Linked DNA regions of Cricetulus griseus. The protein of the gene in region 2 interacts with the protein of the main gene of each other region in a biochemical or structural test. Links are inferred from orthologs where the notes say so. Each region holds a gene or a part of one and is shown on either strand. Other genes may lie near its edges.

What was found.
Region 1: the proteins of microtubule-associated protein tau (region 2) and Tuba4a are reported together in a solved structure, tested with the Homo sapiens proteins (2 studies listed by BioGRID, with this or other methods). The link is inferred for Cricetulus griseus from reciprocal best matches to the Homo sapiens genes MAPT and TUBA4A.

The regions. Positions count from the first base shown.
Region 1 is NC_048595.1:428,369,978-428,377,787, reverse strand, and holds Tuba4a (tubulin alpha-4A chain), read left to right. Parts: upstream 1-3,840; 5' UTR 3,841-3,980; coding exon 3,981-3,986; intron 3,987-4,727; coding exon 4,728-4,950; intron 4,951-5,238; coding exon 5,239-5,387; intron 5,388-5,613; coding exon 5,614-6,585; 3' UTR 6,586-6,655; downstream 6,656-7,810. UniProt on the Homo sapiens protein: Tubulin is the major constituent of microtubules, a cylinder consisting of laterally associated linear protofilaments composed of alpha- and beta-tubulin heterodimers.
Region 2 is NC_048600.1:117,265,525-117,273,291, forward strand, and holds the start of microtubule-associated protein tau, read left to right. Parts: upstream 1-3,728; 5' UTR 3,729-3,858; intron 3,859-7,767. UniProt on the Homo sapiens protein: Promotes microtubule assembly and stability, and might be involved in the establishment and maintenance of neuronal polarity.

The DNA of each region.
Region 1 (7,810 bases), on a different chromosome or scaffold from region 2:
GATAGATCACTGTACATAGACTGCCTAGGCAATATGGTTTGTGCCAAATACCCACTTTCCACTATGATGCTAAGATTTTGGTAAGTGCAAGGCAGAGGCGCTTATGGGGCAAGCCTCCGGGAAAATCTCAGCTACTGAGTCTCCAGTGGGTTTCCATGGGTACTGTATCCCTTGAGGCTTGGGTATGGAAACCTGACTGAGTCAAGTGAATGAAGAAAGACAGAGACATAAACAGAAAAGCTAGGGTCAGGTGGACTGTGAGGACTCTGATGGAGACCCACTAACTATTGAAACAACTAGAACCTTAGCGCATTATTGTGTATAGCATGGAGAGAGGAGTTACTCTCTGTAAGGGAGCACTCTCAGGTGGTAAACATCTGGTGCAGCTGTGGTCCCTAGTTTTTGCATACACTGACCAATGGTTCATAAACGTTCACAATTGGACCAGAGGAAGGCTTTGCCATTTTGAGTCTGACTGAAGGCTTTGGTGCCTTCTCATGGGTCTGGGGTGTTGGTTCTTGACATGGCTGTGCCCACTTCAAAAACAAACATACACCCAGTGTGTCATTCACTAAGTTCTTACACATTCACTCCAGCCTTCATTGGCTCCCCACACATGAAAAGAAGTATTGCAGGGAAATGTCGGTGGTTTTTCTGTTGAAGGAAGAGCATGCTTGTGCATGAACTCTGATGGGAGGTAAGAAGCATGGACTTCCCCAGGCCCCACCAGTGTCTTTCCCCTTCTGACCCAGTTGCCCAGCATTGCCTCAGCCATGAGCACAATTATGTGAAAAATCTGAGTCCCAGGGACTCTTCTAACATGGAGGGGACTTGAAGGACACCGCAACCCAAAAATCCTTCCTCTTTTCATATGCTAACACCACAAAGTGCAAATAAAACTTTTCTTCTTTTGTTAGTTTGCTTTTTGCAGCACTGGGGACTGAACCCTGGCCTTGCACATGCTAAGCAAACACTGTATCACAAAGCTATACCACCATCAGAATGAAACATTTCTGAGAGGGACTTCAAGTTGCAACTCCTTTAGGGCCCCATCTATGAAGTGTAACAGTTCATTGAATGAATGCATGCTTAGCAAATGTTCTAAGTACCATGCTAAGAACCAAGGACTCAAAAAAACAACAAACAAACAAAACAGAATAATACAATATAGCCCTTGCCTTCAGGATGTAAGACAGGTTCACAAACAGAGTGGTATGTAGTACATATACTAAGACAAGTGGGAACAGGAGCTATGGGAACCCAGGTGGTTCCATATACATTGCTCTGCTGGGTGTGTACACAGTCCTGCACCTGTCTGGTGCTCACAATTGAAACGGTTACCTCAGGTTTTACAAACGAAGAGCTGAAAGTCAAACAAGTTTAGAGTTTTGCCTGATACCTCAGATCATTTATATCCCTTCTGCTGTGTGGATACACAAGGAAACAAGAGAAAGGCTGCAAAGTGGTCACTGTGTCCTGTGATCATCAAGGCTCTTTCCTCTGACTAGACTATGCATGACTCATGTTTGGAAGCAGCCTAATGCCCTAAATGCCCTTGTTCGTTTCCATTTTATGAATGAGCGCCCCACCCCTACTCCCCACCCCTGTGCTGTGGATTGAACCCAGGACTTCACAAATGATGGACAAACCTGATACCGACTCAACTACACCTTCAGCATCTCCAGATGAACCTTAATTCTCCTAATCAGATGACAAGAACTGGGAAGAGAGAGCTTGTCAAATTTATTGTGCTCTTTTCTGTATCTTCTCAGTCAGATGCCACTAGCTACTTTGTAGTTAGATAGTTGCCGTCACATGGTACTATGTTATGTGTTCAAACAGTCCTGTCCTTAAGAAGAGGGGGGGGGGAAGGCCGGTAAATCTTTTCCAAGTGATGACTAACCTGGGTTTCTTAAGGTCATGACAACCAGCACCTAGTCTCTGCCTGATGGATTTTCTCGGTCCGAGAAAGCAGAAAGAACTTTTAGAAAGGCCTGTCATCGTACAAAACGGAAATGAAACGCTAGAAGGAGGAATCTCAGTGAAGCCAAGTCACTAGTCCAAGGATGCACAGGGTCTCCTGGATGCTGCTGGGGGGCTCTGGGTTCTGTGCTCCCCCGCAGCAGGCATGCAGGAGGTCGTGGCGAGAGCTCACTAATAGTGACGGCGCTGATGACGGAGCCTCCGACCGGCGGGTGGCAGGTGAGAAGTGGCAGATTCTCGCGTCGGCCCTCACGGATTGGCTGTGCGGCTCAGCGCTGCGGGACAGTTTACGAGATCGTCATCCTGGGGCTCAGGCTCTGTAGTTCTCGGTCCTCGGCCTCCCACAGGGGGCGAAAGCCTGCCATCTCGGCCGGGGACCAGCAGGAGGCGGTCTGCTGTAAGGGGGTCTCGGGCGATCAGCCCCAGCAACCCAGCCCGCCCGAAGCTCCCGGGAGGCGACGCTGGGAGGACAGCGGAGGCCGCCAGGAACAGCCGCTTCTGAAGGACTGCTTGAACCTCATCCTCCCTAAATCGGAACATCTGCACCATGGGCGTTCGCGTGACACAGGTGCAGTTGAGACACTCCCTGTCACCGCACCCTGCGTCCCTGCTTTGGACCTTCAGAATCCGGGGCGTTGGCTCGAAACCAGGAACGAAAATGGGCCTCTGCTTCTAGCCCAAACTCGACAGGTGAGGGAATCCGGCACGGCAGGGGGAGGGGATCAGACTTGGCTTCACTCCTCGTGGCCACCTACCCTGACGAGGTGTGGTCTTTAGACCTCCCCGCCCCACGGTGGGCGGGCTGAGCGTGCGGGTCCCGCCTCCTGCCTATAAGAGTGGTGCGGCACTGCAGCTCCGCAGATCTCACCGAGACCCGTGACCCCGACTCAACGTGAGACGCACAACCCAGACTCATCATGGTGAGTGAGGCCCCCCCTGGGATCTCTCTGGTCCTGTAAATGTCCCGCTCCTTTGGAGAACTCCCTCTAGAGAAGCTGGGGGGCCCTTTACTTGGCTCTCCGAGTCTCTGGGAGATGCAAGAGTTTTGCACTTCCCCCCACCCCTCCTGGTGACTTTGGCCTAGTGTGTTGTCCACCTTCAGAGTGTGACCGGGGGATGATGTTTCTTCACTAGCAGAGAGGAGCCCTACTGTATTGCCCTCCGGCCGAACCAAGAGTCTTGTGTCCCAACCCTCCTGAGGGGAGTCACGCGGTCCTGCACCCAGTCCTCTCCTCGGGCGGCGGAAGACCTGCTTGGCTGTCCCCGTCACCCATCTCTATCCCCTGAGTCCCTGGGACTGACCGAACACGTGCTTGGCGCCTGTCGGTAGAAGGGGTTACTTAGTACCGCACCCCGTCTTCCTCGGTGTGCCTCCTTCCCACTTACACCCCCATACGTGACTCAGCACCCCCTTCTGAGCCAGAAAGGGTGGCGGGAATGGGGTTTGGCCTCAGGAGGCCAGCGGGCCCCTCCTACGGGAGAGCTGGTGCTAAGAGGACGGGCAGAGACAGCTGGCGCTGATCGACAGCCCCGGCCGAGGCCAGGTTGGCGGGGGAGGGGAAAGAGGTGTCTGTAGGGGGTTGTATTTATAGCCCCGGAGCGGGGGCAGAAACCCAATCCGGGCTTTCGGCTGGGAAGTAACTGGAAAGACTCCAATGGGAGAGCAGACGTAGGGCCCAGGTACAGATGGCTCTCCCCTTGCCTGGTGCGTGAAGCAAGGCGGGTTCCCTCAAGGGCCTCCTGGCAGGTTCCACTTCCTTTTCTGGGTACTTAGAAATTGCAAAAACACCCCCCACACACACACACCTCCCGCCGCCGCCGCGTGCGCGCGCGCACGCGCGCCACTTGGTTGTGGGAGGGTGCTGCAAGGGTTAAATTATGGACTGCCTGGCCGGAGCTTCAGACGGCCAGTGCACCAGTATACCTGTATTGCCTGCACCTGCCGTCAGCGCTTACCCGCATTATTGCTGCTATTTCCGTGCGGGCTGAGGCGGAGGATGGAGGTGGTGAAGCCATACAGAGTGTGGGGGTGGAGGTGGGGAGAGGAGCCAGATGGGATTGATTCCTCAAGGCCAGATGGGATTTAAAGGTGGTGGGGGTTACCCCATTCTGATGGCCAGAATGGTCAGCTGATACCAGATGGAAGGTTGAGACACCTCTTTGCCCACAGGAAAGAAGGGGAGAGGGTTACGAGAAATTTTATCTTCAAGGCAAAGATTAACCAAGTAGAGTGCTGGCTATAAACTGTAAAAGATATTTTAGAAGCTGCATGGACTGGAGGCAGCTGGAAAGCCTGTCTGTCTGTCTGTCTGTCTGTCTGTCTGTCTGTCTGTCTCTCTCTCTCTCTCTCTCTCACACACACACACACAACACACACACACACACACACACACACACACACACACACACACATCCTGTTATAGTTGCTGCAGCCCCGCCTGTCATGTGTGCATGCCCTCCCTGTCCTCTCTGAGTGTCCTGTGGAAGTTAACAGGATTATACAGCTCTCACTTGATAAATTTTCTAAGGGGTTGGTCTGCCCTGCTGGACACCTCAATCAGGGAAGCCCTGTGCTAAGGAGACTGGAGAGGCTGCCAGCTGCTTCTGACCTCTCAGCTCCAACCTGACTGTACTTTTACCAACTGAGTAATCTTAGCTAATAGGTGACAGGGTGGGAGAGGACCTCATCTAGTGGGGAGTTGTAGATGTGGCACTTACGCTGTGACCTTCTCTGTATCCCTCAGCGTGAGTGCATTTCAGTCCATGTGGGGCAGGCAGGTGTCCAGATGGGCAATGCCTGCTGGGAGCTCTACTGTCTGGAACATGGGATTCAGCCTGATGGGCAGATGCCCAGCGATAAGACCATTGGTGGAGGGGATGACTCCTTCACCACCTTCTTCTGTGAAACTGGAGCTGGAAAACATGTGCCTAGGGCAGTCTTTGTGGATCTGGAGCCTACTGTAATCGGTAAGCAGGGGTGTGGAGGGGCACTTTTGAGGAAAGTCGAGTGTCTCTTGCAGAGTGTCTAGACTAGGTTTTTGTGATCTTGAAGCCCCTTGACTTTATTTGATGATGAAGATGGATGCTGACCCCAGGCTGGTAGAAGAATGAGCTAGTTCTTCCATGTATCTGCCATTCTTGAGGGTGGGGAGGAGGAGGGTCTCTGCTGAGCATGGCCTTGTGGTTTTTGCCTCAGCAATGTGATATTTATATATATATATATATATATATATATATATATATATGGTCTTTTAGATGAGATCCGAAATGGCCCATACCGACAGCTCTTCCACCCAGAGCAGCTTATCACTGGGAAAGAAGATGCCGCCAACAACTATGCCCGTGGCCACTACACCATTGGCAAGGAGATCATCGACCCAGTGCTGGACCGGATCCGCAAACTGGTGAGACTATAGCTTGGCAGCGAGGGAGCTATGGAGTCAATGTTCAGGAAGTTTTCAGATCCATTTCTGGGATCGTCTCTAGCTGTATGTTTTAGAATTCAATGCTGTTTAGGGGGACATTCAGTCTTTGCCCTAACTTCTGAGATACTTTAGGCCTCATAAAACTAGAAGAAAATTCCTTAGGCTTCTCCCCTACCTACATTGCTCTTTCTTCCTTGCCTTTCAGTCTGATCAGTGCACAGGACTTCAGGGCTTCCTAGTATTCCACAGTTTTGGAGGGGGCACCGGCTCTGGCTTCACCTCCCTGCTGATGGAGCGGCTTTCTGTTGACTATGGCAAGAAGTCCAAGCTGGAGTTCTCCATCTACCCAGCTCCACAAGTGTCCACAGCTGTGGTGGAGCCCTATAACTCCATCCTGACCACCCATACCACCTTGGAGCACTCAGACTGTGCCTTCATGGTGGACAACGAGGCTATCTATGACATCTGCCGCCGTAACCTGGACATTGAGCGTCCAACCTATACAAACCTCAACCGCCTCATCAGCCAAATCGTCTCCTCCATCACAGCTTCCTTGCGCTTTGATGGGGCCCTCAATGTGGACCTGACAGAGTTCCAGACCAACCTGGTGCCCTACCCTCGAATCCACTTCCCCCTGGCCACCTATGCACCCGTCATTTCTGCAGAGAAGGCCTACCATGAGCAGCTGTCAGTGGCAGAGATCACCAATGCCTGCTTTGAGCCTGCCAACCAGATGGTGAAGTGTGACCCTCGGCATGGCAAGTACATGGCCTGCTGCCTGCTCTACCGTGGGGATGTGGTGCCCAAGGATGTGAACGCCGCTATCGCTGCCATCAAGACCAAGCGCAGCATCCAGTTTGTGGACTGGTGCCCCACAGGCTTCAAGGTTGGTATCAACTACCAGCCACCCACTGTGGTGCCTGGGGGTGACCTGGCCAAGGTGCAGCGTGCAGTGTGCATGCTGAGCAACACCACTGCCATTGCTGAGGCCTGGGCCCGCCTGGACCACAAGTTTGACTTGATGTATGCAAAGAGGGCTTTTGTACACTGGTATGTGGGTGAGGGCATGGAGGAGGGGGAGTTCTCTGAGGCTCGAGAGGACATGGCTGCCCTGGAAAAGGATTATGAGGAAGTAGGCATCGACTCCTATGAGGATGAGGATGAGGGAGAAGAATAAGCAGCCGCTTGGAGCCGGTTTTCATTGTTTATTGCAAAATCCTTTCGAAATAAAGTCTCCCTGCACGGTTTCTCGTCCCCCTTGGTGACTGCTTGGCTTCTGCTGTGGCTGCTACTTCCCGCTATTTGCTGCTCACGACCTTTTACCATTTCATGCCTGAAGGTGAGCCCTGTATTGAGCCCCAGAAAGTATGATGTAAAGTCCTAAGGACACCCAAAATAGGAAAGAAATGAGGACCAAATCCTGGACTTGTCTGTCTAGCTACAAACTATTGCAAGATCCAAGTCTTCACTTTTCCTAATAATAATTGATGTCTGGTGGGTTTTTTGGTTTTTTTTTTTTTTTCCAAGTGTCTAGTGGCTTCTGTGTTGGATGATCGACTGCTTTTGCTCTTGCTGCTGCTGCTTCACTCAACAGCTTTAGAAGCAAGGCCTGGCCCAAGCTTCGTTGTACACTGAGGGTTTAGGAATGGGGACTGGGCCAGCCCAAAGTTCCTGGGCATAGAGCCACCCTCACAAACTTGGGGGATGGGCGGGAACAAGGGCAATCTCCTGGTTGTTTGTGCCATCACACCTCCAGCAGCTTTGCAGAGCTTGCTGTCTATCTTGCTTACTGGGGCTTGAGCTATGCTATTAAAAGTCAGGACGTCTCCCCTCTGTTTGTTTTCCTTTGGCCTCAGCCTCTGCTTGGGGTGGAAGCCTGCCTGGACCCTAGGGAAAAATTATACTTCGCTAATAGGCACCCTAGGACTCAGGTTGACGTCAGCATGTAGAGGTGGGCATGGCTTGGGAGGAAGCTTCAAAATCTCCAGGACAGCCAACCCTGCCCTTGCCTCCCCTCCCTGGTGATTCAGGGACGCAGTGCCCTTCCCTGAGGAACTGGTTTAAAGCCCAGCTAAGGCTGGGTGCCTGTTTACTCAGCAAATGGGGCAGGAAGTGCCTGCTGGATACTGCCACAGGCCACTAGCCTCATCAATTATTAACTGTGTATGAGCTAGAATAGTCAGGGAGACTGGAAAAAATGGAAGCCAGTTCCACTCCCTTTGTCCTCAGCTGAGGGAGACCTGTAGGCTTCCATCCAGAGGTCATGGAGTTGGCAAACCTGCTGGGCTGGGCTGTTCTAAGCTACCCACCTTCAGAATGAGTGACAGAACTAGTGGAGTGTGCTTTCAAAGGGACCCTGGTCCCACTTCTCAGTACAGGCAGAAAACCAGCTTAAGCTGGAG
Region 2 (7,767 bases):
ATACAGATGGCCTTCTTTCTTGAGAAAAATCAGCTTCATCTTTCCCTAGAAGCATTTCCACTCTCCTGTCCTCCATGGTCCTCCAATGTATTCATCACATCCATACAGTCTCAGAACAGAGTTCAAGTTCTGCTTTCATTTTCCAGGGTCCTTTTAGCCCCCAGAATAGAATACACAAGGCAGACACTGTTGTTTACTGAAATCCTTTTTCCTCTTCTTCCAGAACCCACAACCCTCCTACATGTACTGATCTTTCGGTTGGAGATGACCATATAACTAAAGTGATCCCATGCCAGCCTCTGGGACGACCAGTGCCTCCTGCCCTCCTCCAGATGGACCCATAAGTAACAACCCAGTCTCATCCCCACAAAGAACAAGGTCCTAAGAAATGGTAGAACCACAAAAATGGAAAGAGCCTGTTTCCATAGTCTCTCAAGGAGGGAGAACTTATTCACCCCAACCTGGAATGCCTACCTGTACTACTGGAGTCCAGTTAGAGACATTACAGTTAGAGACATTACAGTTAGAATCCTTTTGTTTCAATGCATCGGTTTTGGTGGTGGTGGTGGTGGTGGTGGTGATGGTGGTGGTGGTGGTGTGTGTGTCAGAGAGAGAGACAGAGACAGAGAGAGAGAGAGAGAAGGAGGGAGGGAGGGAAGGAGAGAGAGAGAGAGAACTTTCAGACTATCGACCTGGGTTCTAACCCCATCTTAGACTATTCAATAAAGGACTTGAAGCCAGAAGAAGGTAATCAATTTGTCTAACTGCACACGTGACAGCTAAGATTGGGCCCACAGTTCCTGTTACTCCTGTCAATAAGCTGCCTTCTCTGGTCCTGCATGTATGGGCTTGGGCTGAACCCAAGAAGCCATGAGCTTTCTATTTCAGCAAGAGGGAGGGGCAGAGGGATGAGAGGGGATACATTTTCTTGGCCTGCATTAGTGAGCCATTAGCTACCCACAGTGATCAAATTATCTGGAATGAACACTCAACTCTACATCACATACATTTAAAGGACAGATTCACTCAAGCCTCTTTCTAGCATTCATTACCTCCATTTAGTGTAAGCAAATATGAACTGTCTGTATCAGGGGACTACAGTGTCACTGGGTCCTTGGCAGTTCTCAATCATACTCTGCATTAAGGGCTCATAATGATAAGTTTGAATGTGGAAGAGTGTCACTTTGATGGCTACAGATGACACATATTAATAAAATAAAGTGTAACAAAAGCATTGACCTTGAAAATGATAATGACATAAATACAATTTATCTATCATTCAGTGAGTTCCACTTGTTACTGTATAAGAAACCACACACCACACACACACACACACACACACACACACACACACTTATTAAATTGTCATACTCAACTTTGTCATGCCTACAACCAGCCCCCAAAATCTTGGTGGCTCCTGCAACAAATTTTAATTTTTGTTCACGTTGTATGTACTTCTTTAGGCCTTTTCACTGCAGGATCTGGGCTTCGGGAGCACTGCCTGGCAATATGTCTTTCTAGTAGTGGAAAGGAAGTCAATGATATAGAAACTCGCCATGCCTTAAGTTTCTGTTTGGATCGGTCTGCATCACATAGCTGGTAATGGACAAGGGTGTGTGATTCCCCACTCAGGAAAAAAACAACTACTGGAGACAATAAGAAAATGCCGGCCCTGCAAGATAAATACTAATTGGACACCTCTCCTCTGGAATAATTTGACTAAGTTCCTTGTAGAGACCAGAAATATCCCTTCTACTTGGGGTGACAGGAGAAGGCTTTGGAGAAATGTGAGCTTGGTTTTGAAGGTTAGGTACAGTGTTGATGGGGAGGAGAAAGAGCAAAAGGAACACCAGAGCAGAGGTGGGAGAGATTTAGTTAAGCAGCCTCAGTCACAGAGTTGGTGATTGATAAAAGTGGTGTAGATGGGTGTTCTGATCTAGGGAAAGAGCTGAATGTGAGGCCAAGGAGTTTCAGCGCCCCTGTCTGGAAACTGGTAGACATCTTTGGGCAAGAGACTGCCATGAGAGCAGGGAAACCACTAAGGTCCTACATGTCCAGAACGAAGTAGGAGTCTTGAAGCAGGATGGTGATCATGGGAAGAACAGCAAGGTCAGACCTGGAAATTCAGAACCTGGGGCTTAAGAAATTAGCCTGGCTTCCATCATCTACCCAAAGCTCCCAAAATAATACAGTAATTAAGCCCATATTTAAAAAAAAAAAATGGTGTCACCAGAAAACCCAGCCCAAAGCTTTGCACATTAGTTGAGATTTATGAGTGTTCTGCCTATAAGTATGTTTATGTGTATGTATGTTTGTACGTGCACCAAGGGTATTCGTGGTGCCCTTAAAAATCTGGAAGGTGTTGGATCCCCCGGATCTGTAGTTACAGACAGTTGTGAGCTGCCATGTGGGTGATGGGAATCCTGGCCCTCTGCAAGTGCAGCAAAATTCACTGTGTAGCCCAGGATGATCTTGACCCTCCTGCCCCAGCCTTCCTGAATGCTGGGATTTGAGATATAAGCCAACACACTGAGTTTATACAACCCTGGAGCTTTTTAAACAACAGCTGGGATAGTGGTGCACATCTTTAATCCCAGCATTCTGGAGGCAGAAGCAGGCTGGTGGATCTCTGTGGAGCCCTGGGCCAGCCAGGGCTCCATAGAGAACCTGCCTTGTAAAAGAAAGTAAAAGTCATGCAAATTAAAGCTTCCAGACGAGATCCCACCCCTCTGGCAAGAGGTGCCGACCCCTCTTCCTTGCATTTGAACAGGCTCCAGCTGTCCAAGAGCTCTGAGCTTCGGGGAGGTGAGAAACCTAAACTACAACCACAGCCCACGCCTGAGCAGCTAGAATGAGGACTAATGGCCAATTTCCACATGGAAGCCTGACATCCATCAGGTGGCCATCTCCAGCAAGCACCTTAAAAACTGAGCTCTCCAGCTGTACAAAGGTGTCTCAACGAACCAGATAAAAATAGCTCTGTGAAAATGCCTTGCAGTGTGGTAAGCATCATTAAAACGAACCTATTTAAAATTTTTCTTCTCTAGGGTCAAGGTTGGATAACTAATGGATTTGAACGCTCCTTGATTTAAAAAAAAAAAATTCATGAAAACTCTAAACTGTATTGTGATCAATGTTAATCTGTTCCAAGAGGGTTTGTCAAGGAAATAATAATTCACTTTGGCCATTAACCAAAAAAAAAAAAAAAAAAAAAAAAAAAAAAAAAAAGGTGCGGCCCCTGGGAAAGTGGTCTCTCTCCGGAGGACCCCATTTTGGGGAGACGCCTGCAGGAGGCCTGGGGGTCCAGCGTGTCCCGCCTGGCGAGCCAACGAGGGGGAACTGAAAAGCGGACAAGGACACACATACCGCTTCGCCTCGGCCCGCGGGGACAGAGGGAGGAGACCCCGAACTAGACAAAGGCTGCAGCCCCGGGAGGCCGGGGTGCGCGTGCGCCACGGAGCACGCGCGTGCGCGCGGCGGTCAGTGCGGCGGCCCGAGGCGTGGCGGGACCCGGGAAAGGAAGCGAGGCGAGGAGCGAGCCGGGCGGTGCGGGGAGGGGAGGGCTGCGGATGCTCGCGCGCGCCCCCTGGTGGACGGAGGAGGAGGCGCCCCCTCGCAGGCCTCACTGCCCGCCCCTCCCCTCGAGAGGTTCGCGCTCCCGTGGCTCGCGCCTGCGCCGCCCGCCGCCCTCGGGAACGCGCTCTCTCGGCGGCGCGCGCTCCCAGTCTCCACCACCCACCAGCTCCGGCTCCAGCAGCAGCGCCGCCGCCACCGCCCACCTTCTGCCGCCGCCGCCACAGCCACAGCCACCTTCTCCTCTGCTGTCCTCTTCTGTCCTCGCCTTCTGTCGATCATCAGGTAAGTGCCCCGCTCTGAAATCCCGTCCCCATCTGGCCCTGGGCGCCATCCTCCTGTCGCCCCTTGCCCCAGAGATGGATTTAGGGCGCTGGACATCAGTCAGGCGCAACGACGGGGGGCCTCTCTGCGCCCTCGGCGCTGGGGAGCTGGGAAGGAAACGCGTGCAAGAGATGCACGCACGCGGGTGAATGCGTGTGTCTGTGTGCTGGGGTCCGCACCATCCGTTCCACGCAAACGGGGGGGGGGCGTCTGTGCCATCAGGGTGGGGCGCGGATGGCGGTGACCCAGGGGAGGGGGCTGCTCTGTGCTCTGGATCTCAGCCTTTTGCCGCAATGGGCGTGTGCGTGTGTGTGTGTGTGTGTGTGTGTGTGTGTGTGTGTGTGTGTGTGCGTGCGTGCGTACGTGCGTGTGTGTGTGCGTGTGTGTGTGTGTGTGTGTGTGTGTGTGCGTGTGTATGGGGGTCCAACGATGATCTCCGAAACTGAACCTGAAATCAGATTTCTCTGCTCCCGATTGCCATCAGTCCCAAGGAAGGTGTGGGTGGATTGGGTCCTAGAAAAGATGACTGCCTGCATGCCTCTCCCTGACAGTGATTCTGACGGGGCCTTCACTGGCCCTGATTTTAGGCGGTGTCCCGCCCCCTCCCCTTTTCCTCCTTCAGAAGCCGGCAGGGGACATTTGGGGGCTGGGAGAAATCGGGAGAATGGGGAGGGGTCCAGGCGCTGTCACTTTAGCCGCCCTTCCCCCTGCGCGCGCTTGGTACGGTGACAGGGGCAGCGCCGTGCCCGAAAGAAGGTAGTGCGCGGATTAGAGGCAGGGGTCACCTGGCCTCGCGGTGTCAGCGAGCTTGCCAGCCGCGGTTCCCCGCTCGAGGGCTCCTCGCACAGTCACAGCCAAGCACAGACCTGCGCGAGGGCTGCAGGTGCATTTCAGGGCGGATTCCTTTCTCTGCGTTCTGCGCCGGGCTCCCGGCATGTGCGCTCCCTGCCGGAGGCACGGGCTGGCGCGCAGGGCTCGCCCCTCACTGCGGCAGTGGGTGTGGACCTGGGTGGGCGAGGAGGGGGAAGAGTAGGATGTGTCTCCTCTCGTTGCTACCCCTCCCCCGGTTTTTTCCTCCTCTGAACGCGAGGTGCCATCTTTTCGCGGCAAGTCACGTCTCTGTCGTAGCATGCCAAGTGCTGTGGTCGGGCTTTGGAGGACCCGGCTGGGACTCGCGTTAAGGAGCAAAGGGTGATGAACGTGGACATCTTGGCATTCAGTTTCTGCGTCGTGCGTACCCGGTCGTTCACCTGGGGTCTTCTAAGAGAGCTCGCTGCTTTGTTCGTCGAGGTTGTGTGATTTATAATCTGCGCTCCTAGCCCGTTTTTTTTTTTCCTTTCATTCGACGACAATATTTACCTACGCGCTACGCTCAATTCCATCCTTTTTTTCACTACCCGTTTTAGACCCTTTGTTGGATCTACAGACTTGCTGGGGTCTAGTCACAGCCCCCATGGCATGCATGGAATGGACGTGACCCTGAGCAGCCTTCTCCCCCAGTTCCGCCCAGAGCCAGGGATCCTTAGCTGAACCACACGGGTGGGATTCTAGGTAGACTCTCGTGTGCAGGTGTCCTCAGAGGAACCACATCCCTCCACGCCCAGCGCATCCTGGGGACAACACCCCAACATGTTTCACTGCTAGGGGCGCCAGTTTACCCTTAGGAAGGAGAGATTCGGCAAGCCCGGCTTCCCCACCACCTCCTTTGAGCCCTCTTGCCTCTCCCGGTGGGAGAGTGTAAGAAGAGGGCATGAGATCCCCTGGGATGCTGCGGCCACACCCATCCCTCCCAACCCACCGGGAGAGGGCGGGTTAGTGGTTGCCATGGGAACCATACCCGCCAGAGGAGGAACCTCTGGGCGTTACCCCATCCTTTACTCAGCGGAGAGTCAGAATCCTGGGGTAGTCTGACCGTGCCAGCTTGTCTTATTGGAAGACGTGGGGAAGGAGCTCCTCATCCCTAACACGGGCATCATTCTCTTTGGCACTGGCAACCGTAGCTATCCAGATCGGTGCTTCTGGTGTATTTTTATTATAGGCATACTGAGTGGTATTATTTTGTTAATATTGTTTAAATGGGGAGCTCTCACTTAAAAGCCCACCCTTACAACCTCCCTGGAAACCGTAGAGGGATGGAAAGCGAACAGGTCCCAGCCTCCCCCATCCTGCAGTAAGCAGTTTTCCTAGTTAATTCTACCATTGAATACTGGTGCAGGCGTGCAGTTTTGAGACCGACCGAGCACCTTAAAGGCCGAATCGCCCACGGGGGCCGCCCAGCTTGATCTAGGGGTGGAACGCCCTCTCCCGGTCAGACTGCGGCCTGAGGCTGTGGCGTCATGGCTGGGCCCGCCCGACAGAGATTTCCAGCAGCTGAAGGATGGGTTCAAATATGACCGATCCCTGCTAGGATTCTCGGGGTGCACGCGGAAAAGGGAAGTCTGAAAGGGAGGGTGTCTATTGCAACCAGTTGGGCAAAGGTGTCACAGCCCTGTAAGGGGGCGGGGGAGAACATTTCACCCAGTGAAGAAACAAAGCACAGACCACGCGTCTTCGAACTCGCTCCATTTTGCACTGTGTTGGCAGTCGGGTGAGGTATTGAATTGTTAATAAAAGATCATCAAGGGTTACTGCATGGCCTTCTGCGGAGATAGAGAGGCTCCGTTCCTGGCTCGGCCCTTACTTTAACAAACCAGCTTCACTTCAGAGCTAGAGTTTGTGCTGAAGCCGGGACTGTGGAGCACTGAGCCAACCTGGGCTCATCCGAAAGGGTTCAAGTACCGAACGAGAAAATTTCAACCACCAGCTTCAGCAGGTGGGTGAGCGCTTTTATGTCCCAGAGGCCCTATTCACCCTCTGGCGCTCAGGAACTTGTAATTCCAAGTCTTTTTTCCGGCTGGTTAGCATTGGATGGATGGATGATGGGGAACAGACTAACCATTCCCTCCAGAACTTCTTTGGCTCTGCCGGGCTCTTGAAGAATACCCAAATTTTGCAAGATCCCTGCCCTGCCCCTTCAACTGTCGGTCTCACAGCAGTAAAGGAAGTATGGACGTTGGTAGGTTAATTCTGCGGATACAATTCTGAGATGTCATCTTGTGCTTCATGCTGCTGCTTGTGTCCACCGAGTAAGAACTGCTTCTCTACTTGCCATTTGCAAAGCTTCTCTAAATAAATGGTTATCTAGCTAAGCGTGCCCATCCCTCCCCCCAGCTGCCAGGCTGGCTACAATGCCTGCTGATTTTTCTGCACTGTTTGCCTCGCTGGCAGATGTGTATAGAGTACAGCACTAACCTGGCTTGGCTTCGGGGCTCATCTTTGAATGATCTGAGAGCTTAGCTTGGCTAGGATTTTGTTTTGTTTTGTTGTTGTTATTTGTACCAGTGACAGTCCATGGTGTGTCTCTCTGGCCCTGCACAGCCCCTGTCTACACACTTGCATGGGTGGTGGAAGGGTGTGGTTTTTAAGTGGCTTCTAGTGTCAGGCTCTGTTCCCTAGAGAGGAACAAAGGAAGCAGATAGTGCCCAGGAGTTGCAAGGAGAAAACTTAGTAATGGTTTAATTGAGGTAAAGTCAGGCTTGCTCCCATTGGGAAAATAAGCCCTTGTGCTGAGCAAGCTCTTTGACCCACTCGTCCTTGGAGGGCTAGACAGGGCTCTGATGCCCTTTATGTAGACTGACTTTTCCTTCTCCCTTTGTAACATCAACACATCCAGTTCATTTGTTTAAAATTTTCAGGAATGTTGTTTTATTCCGTCTCCCCTCTGCATGTTGTACATGGCTTTGGTGACTCCCTGGCTTTGTGTGTGAATATGCATTCATTTCCCAGTTGAATATATGAACCTTTCCAACTGTGCCCTCTCTTCCTATTTAT